Linked DNA regions of Xenopus tropicalis. The protein of the gene in region 1 interacts with the protein of each later gene in a pairwise test. Links are inferred from orthologs where the notes say so. Each region holds a gene or a part of one and is shown on either strand. Other genes may lie near its edges.

What was found. The genes of interacting proteins can lie anywhere in the genome.
Region 2: the proteins of rpia (region 1) and pcmt1 interact in binary tests that used the Homo sapiens proteins (3 or more experiments, as listed by UniProt). The two-hybrid records come from large-scale screens. The link is inferred for Xenopus tropicalis from reciprocal best matches to the Homo sapiens genes RPIA and PCMT1.

What each region holds. Positions count from the first base shown.
Region 1 is NC_030677.2:9,418,597-9,422,255, reverse strand, and holds part of rpia (ribose-5-phosphate isomerase), read right to left. Parts: intron 1,375-3,659; coding exon 1,319-1,374; intron 87-1,318; coding exon 27-86; intron 1-26. UniProt on the Homo sapiens protein: Catalyzes the reversible conversion of ribose-5-phosphate to ribulose 5-phosphate and participates in the first step of the non-oxidative branch of the pentose phosphate pathway.
Region 2 is NC_030681.2:64,029,835-64,033,493, forward strand, and holds part of pcmt1 (protein-L-isoaspartate(D-aspartate) O-methyltransferase), read left to right. Parts: intron 1-333; coding exon 334-365; intron 366-2,032; coding exon 2,033-2,137; intron 2,138-3,659. UniProt on the Homo sapiens protein: Initiates the repair of damaged proteins by catalyzing methyl esterification of L-isoaspartyl and D-aspartyl residues produced by spontaneous isomerization and racemization of L-aspartyl and L-asparaginyl residues in aging peptides and proteins.

The DNA.
Region 1 (3,659 bases):
GGTGGGTATAGGGGGCAGTAACGTACCTCAGGGTGTCTGTCCAAGTCGCTCAGAACTAATCCGTTCTGCAGGATCAGCTGCCGGGCCTGTGGGAGACACAGATATAATGGAATCCTATTGCTCAAACTATTATTACAGAGAAAAGGGAATCATTTAACCATGAAATAAACCCAATAGGGCTGTTCTGCCCCAATAAGGGGTAATTATATCTTAGTTGGGATCAAGTACAGGTACTGTTTTATTATTACAGAGAAAAGGGAATCATTTAACCATTAAATAAACCCAATAGGGCTGTTCTGCCCCAATAAGGGGTAATTATATCTTAGTTGGGATCAAGTATAGGTACTGTTTTATTATTACAGAGAAAAGGGAATCATTTAACCATGAAATAAACCCAATAGGGCTGTTCTGCCCCAATAAGGGGTAATTATATCTTAGTTGGGATCAAGTACAGGTACTGTTTTATTATTACAGAGAAAAGGGAATCATTTAACCATTAAATAAACCCAATAGGGCTGTTCTGCCCCAATAAGGGGTAATTATATCTTAGTTGGGATCAAGTATAGGTACTGTTTTATTATTACAGAGAAAAGGGAATCATTTAACCATGAAATAAACCCAATAGGGCTGTTCTGCCCCAATAAGGGGTAATTATATCTTAGTTGGGATCAAGTACAGGTACTGTTTTATTATTACAGAGAAAAGGGAATCATTTAACCATTAAATAAACCCAATAGGGCTGTTCTGCCCCCAATAAGGGGTAATTATATCTTAGTTGGGATCAAGTACAGGTACTGTTTTATTATTACAGAGAAAAGGGAATCATTTAACCATTAAATAAACCCAATAGGGCTGTTCTGCCCCAATAAGGGGTAATTATATCTTAGTTGGGATCAAGTATAGGTACTGTTTTATTATTACAGAGAAAAGGGAATCATTTAACCATGAAATAAACCCAATAGGACTGTTCTGCCCCAATAAGGGGTAATTATATCTTAGTTGGGATCAAGTACAGGTACTGTTTTATTATTACAGAGAAAAGGGAATCATTTAACCATTAAATAAACCCAATAGGACTGTTCTGCCCCAATAAGGGGTAATTATATCTTAGTTGGGATCAAGTACAGGTACTGTTATTTACAGTAGCAGTGCCTGAAGCAAGCAGCCCATATCACACAGTGTGGGGTTACAGTACATATCCAGTCATAGAGAACCAGTTCATTTACTGGTATTACTGGACCTGTAAGTCTGACCCACAACATCAGAAGAGAAAAGAGCCTGGTTTATACCACAACTGAAATAAGAATGCGATTCTTGCCTGGAAAGACGTCGGGACACACACGATATTCAGATTTTCCTGCTTCACCCGTTCCGCTGGGAGAGAAAAATAAGAATATTAGCGCAATTATACAGGTAGTACAGAGAATAAGGCTTCATTATTGGATCTTTACAATGACCCGCAATGGTTCTGCCAGTGGGACAATCATGAAGTAATGGGCAGGGACTGCAGGTATGAGTGCAATTATATTGCCGAGGGACTGCTATATTATATATTAGACTTTCAGGTTTATGTAATAAAAGGTATTAAGTTTGCTCAGTAACCCATAGCAACCAATCAGCAGGTAGCATTTACATCTGTTTAAAAGCAAACATCTTATTGGTTGCTATGGATTACTGCTCCTGGGCAAACATGGTGCCTTTTATTACATATGGGGGTTTATATATTATGGGTAGATATATAATACATGCACGTTCAGTCCCATTTTTATATAGACAGGGATTAAAACTGGGTTTTTTATAGGATGAGTAGATTAACCCTATAAATCTTCCAACATTCAGGATGGGCTGATGGGAAATGTAGTTTACTAACAATTGCACAGTTACCCATACAGTTATACTCTGACATTCTGTGTTTCCTACTTTGTAGTTTGGGGGGGGGGCTTTCCCTGAATCAGCACATGTACAGAGCCGCCATGTACAGAGCCAGGTCCAAACAGAATGGGTTTGGCGAGATGGGAGTGGAAGAACTATTATTGGCCTGTTCCTCAACCCAACGGAACCCCCAGTGGGATGAATCAGAACCCCCAGTGGAATGAATCAGAACCCCCCGTGGGATGAATCAGAACCCCCAGTGGGATGAATCAGAACCCCCAGTGGGATGAATCAGAACCCCCCGTGGGATGAATCAGAACCCCCCGTGGGATGAATCAGAACCCCCCGTGGGATGAATCAGAACCCCCCGTGGGATGAATCAGAACCCCCCGTGGGATGAATCAGAACCCCCCGTGGGATGAATCAGAACCCCCCGTGGGATGAATCAGAACCCCCCGTGGGATGAATCAGAACCCCCCGTGGGATGAATCAGAACCCCCCGTGGGATGAATCAGAACCCCCCGTGGGATGAATCAGAACCCCCGTGGGATGAATCAGAACCCCCAGTGGGATGAATCAGAACCCCCAGTGGGATGAATCAGAACCCCCCGTGGGATGAATCAGAACCCCCCGTGGGATGAATCAGAACCCCCCGTGGGATGAATCAGAACCCCCCGTGGGATGAATCAGAACCCCCCGTGGGATGAATCAGAACCCCCAGTGGGATGAATCAGAACCCCCAGTGGGATGAATCAGAACCCCCCGTGGGATGAATCAGAACCCCCAGTGGGATGAATCAGAACCCCCAGTGGGATGAATCAGAACCCCCCGTGGGATGAATCAGAACCCCCCGTGGGAAGAATCAGAACCCCCCGTGGGATGAATCAGAACCCCCCGTGGGATGAATCAGAACCCCCAGTGGGATGAATCAGAACCCCCAGTGGGATGAATCAGAACCCCCCGTGGGATGAATCAGAACCCCCCGTGGGATGAATCAGAACCCCCCGTGGGATGAATCAGAACCCCCCGTGGGATGAATCAGAACCCCCCGTGGGATGAATCAGAACCCCCAGTGGGATGAATCAGAACCCCCCGTGGGAAGAATCAGAACCCCCCGTGGGATGAATCAGAACCCCCTCTGGGATGAATCAGAACCCCCCGTGGGAAGAATCAGAACCCCCCGTGGGATGAATCAGAACCCCCTCTGGGATGAATCAGAACCCCCCGTGGGAAGAATCAGAACCCCCCGTGGGATGAATCAGAACCCCCTCTGGGATGAATCAGAACCCCCTTCTGAGCCCCAGGCCTGATCCTCAACACCAGGGTCCAACCTCTTACATCTGAATGGAAGCAAATCCACCAACAATGTTTCAGCATTTAGTGGAAACCCACCCCAGAAGACATGGGCTGTTCATAGATTGCAAGCTCTTTGGGACAGGGCCCCCATTCCTACCTGTTATAGAAACTCCTAGTACTTCTCTGTATTTATTCTCATTATTTCTCTGTATCTCTATTTGTGTACTGCACACTATGCTATATAAAATATTAACCCTCTGCTTTCCAGGGAATCTGGGCACAACCCACCATCAAAGCCCCCCAGACTCTCGGCCATGTTAACCTCAGTTCATCTCTGCAGCCCAGTGTTGCCAGTAACAGGCGCTTGTACTGAATGTTCTATGATAGTGGGAGCCAAAGTCCTTGAATGTCTGTGGGAATCTGACTGTTTAGACTGGATAGTCAGCTAGTTTATTATAAGACACATTCCTGGCTTCCATCTAGCAGCATTA
Region 2 (3,659 bases), on another chromosome or scaffold:
AGTAGGGATGCACCAAACCCACCCCGGCAGATTCTGCCCAATCCCAAACATAATCGGAATACTAATTAGCATATGCTAATTAGGAGCTGGAAAGGTTATTCCCCCCTACTATTTAACCCTTTTGAATGCTCATTAGCATATGCTAATTAGGATTCGGATTCATTTTGGCAGGGACCGTGGATTCGACGGAAACCGAATCGTTAAAAAAAAAAAAAGACTGGATTCGGCCCGAATCCCAAACTGAATTTGGGATTTGGTGCATCCCTAAAAAAGTGCTTTATAGTTTTGGGCCATTATAGTAATATTATAAAATAATGTGGTTTTTTTTTCCAGGTTATCAAGCAACCATTAGTGCACCACATATGGTAAGATTTATGTAAGATGTAAATCTGTGTACTTATAATGTAATAAATATACCTTTTTAAGAAACAATAAACAGTTAATTTATAATTTCCTGCAAAGTTATGAAACATTTATAAAACCTAAATATAGAACCTTTATTCTGATTATTAAGACCTTTACCTTATGGTCTTATTTTCAGATATGGTGGCCATCATGCAGTTGCATAGACATAACAATTGTACCATTTCAGTAACATCTAGACATATGTTTATTATTGTAACTGAACTGGACCTATCAAAGTCTATTGCTCATTAACGTAGTTTATTAAACTCCAAATCTGCACCTAAAATTGAGAGCCAGTGGTTTTATTTTGACCTACTAAGGACAGTCTTCTACAGCTTGTAGGTACTTTTTTCAAACATTTTTTTTATTTTACCACATTCTATGTAGTGTTACGTTCTTTTAATTTTATATGGTAACTTGTATCATGTAGCTGTCATTTATTGCTATTAACATGTTACCTTAACTGACTCAATTACATGAATAATAATTTCCTCTTTGTCTTATATGAAGCTTTTTATTGGACAGCTTTGTTTAGTAAATCCATATTTAATCTATAGCACATTAGATAACTTTTTTTTTACCAGGAAGCTATTTAATGAAGAGTTCAACGTATAATTTGGAACACTCAAGCATGCTGTGTTAAATAAGAAAAAAGGTTTAGGACTTCTCTACCTGAGAATTAGCCCATGAGCCAGCAGCTATCTGCACGTCTTTTAAGGGTCCAGGCGGTGTATGACACAAGAGGTATACCTACCATTTGGGATTCTGGCTAGATAAAGTACTGGTTGGGTTTGAACATAAGTCCTGTCCCAGATGAAGGCATTCACATCTCCCTGCCATCTGTTTGCCCAGTTGGTGTTACCAGTGATTTATATATCCCCTGTATAAGCCCAAACACTATAAAAAAAAAAAAAAAAAAAGACAAGCAGTGAGTTGCTAATAAAGTGACAAACACTTGTGTGTCAGAGCACTTAAAAGCACCTATTACACCTGTAATGTTGCCCGGACTCTGGTTGGGGAAAACAATAGTTTTTAAAAAGAAATATTCCCTCAGCCAGTGCTGGGCTACCCACACTGGGTGGAAGCTCCCAGTTCGGGCAGCCATCTTGGTTGGCGCGCATGTGCATAATAAGCAACTCTCTTATTATGAACATGCGCCTGAAGTAGGAGTGATGAATTCGTCACCTTCCCATGTCACACACATGAGCATAATGAGCGAGTTGCGGCACTCGGTCATTATTTGCATGCTTGTGCACCAACATGGCTGCCTGCACCGGGGTGTGTCTCCCGGTGCAGGTAGCCCAGCGCTGGCAGGGTCAGTTTTTTTTTTGTTTTTTTTTTTAAAAACAAACTTGTTTTCCCTATCTGGAGTGTGGAAAACATTAAAGGGGTGATAGGTGCCCTTTAAGAATACTGCATCCTGTTGCTTTCATTTTAAAAGTACCATTGTATTGTCTTATTTTTGTTGCTATATTCGTGCACAAATGCTTATTTCTCTGTTATAAATTACTGGTATTATTACTTTATCTCTTATAGTATTCACAGATGATTATTTCCCTCTAATGCCTTTTTGGGTGTACAGTATAAGTAAGCACAGTGGGTTTACAATCTTTTATGTTTCCTTTAGCATGCATATGCACTAGAACTTCTTCATGATCAGTTACATGAAGGTGCCAAAGCTCTTGATGTAGGATCTGGAAGTGGAATTCTTACTGCATGTTTTTCTAGAATGGTAAGACCTTTTAAAGTAAAAAGTACTTAAGTCTTTTGATGGTTGTGGTTCATTGGTTCACTGCTGGGTTGTTGTTTTAATATTTACAATTATCATACAGTTTAAAAACATGACTCATGTAGTGTGAGTTGTATTTGAACAACAGGTGTTACGTAAACCAGGGTTTAGTTACATTCAAATTAACTTTTAGTAAGTTATAGAATGGACAATTCTTAGCAACTTTCTAATTGTTTTTCATATTTTATAGTACCATAGTAAGTTAGGTTGAAAAAAGACATACATCCATCAAGTTCAACCTTATTGCCTATATATAACCTACCTAACTGCTAGTTGATCCAGAGGAAGGCAAAAACCCCATCTGAAGCCTCTCTAATTTTCCGCATAGGGGAAAAACTTCCTTTTTGACTCCAAGATTGAAATCGGACCAGTCCCTGGATCAACTTGTACTAAGAGCTACCTCCCATAACCCTGTATTCCCTCACTTGCTAAAAAGCCATCCAGCCTCTTCTTAAAGCTATATAATGTATCAGCCAGTACGGCTGATTCGGGGAGGGAATTCCACAACTTCACAGCTCTCACAGTAAAAAAAAAAACCTTTCTGAATATTTAAATGGAACCTCCCTTCTTCAAAACGGAGTGGGTGCCCTTGTGTCGGTTGGAAGGACCTACTGGTAAATAAAGCATTAGAGAGGTTATTATACAGTATGATCCCCTTATATATTTCTACATAGTTATTATGTCACCTCTTCTCCAGTGTAAACAAACCGAGCTTGGCCAGTCTTTCTTCATAACTGATACATTCCATACCCTTCACCAGCTTAGTTGACTCTCTCTAATTCAATAATGTCCCGTTTGAGCACTGGAGACCACAACCGAACAGCATATTCTAGATGGGGCCTTACCAGCGCTCTGTAAAGGGGAAGAATAACACACTCCTCCCATGAATCTATGCCCCTTTTAATACAGATCAAAAATCAGTGTCTGTTGACCCTACAAGTTTCCAATTTCACTGCAAGTACTTTATGTAAATAGATAGGAAACCAAGAAGGATTAGCAACTATACATACACACAATGTACATTCCTATTTCCAAAAAATTTGGGGCACTGTGTAAAAAAAATAAATAAATACAGAATGCACTGATTTGCAAATCATGTATACCCTATTTTAAATTAAAAATAGAACAAAGACAACATATCAAATGTTGAAACTATATATGCTCATTTGAACATGCTTTAAAAAAGTTGGGACAGGGACAACAAAAGTCTGAAAAAGTTGTTTACTGCTTAAAAGAGCTTCCCAGAGGCTGGGTCTCTCAGAAGCAAAGGAGTCGGGTACACCATTCAGTGAAACACTGCCTCACATTTCCTCAACATAAAAATACAAATTTGGGGATTTCATTATCTACAGTACATAGTATTCAAAGATTCAGAGATTTCAGAGAAATTTCTTTATGCAGGGGACAAGGCAGAAAGCTAAAACTGGATGTCCATGATCTTCTGGCTTGTTAGATGGCACTGCAT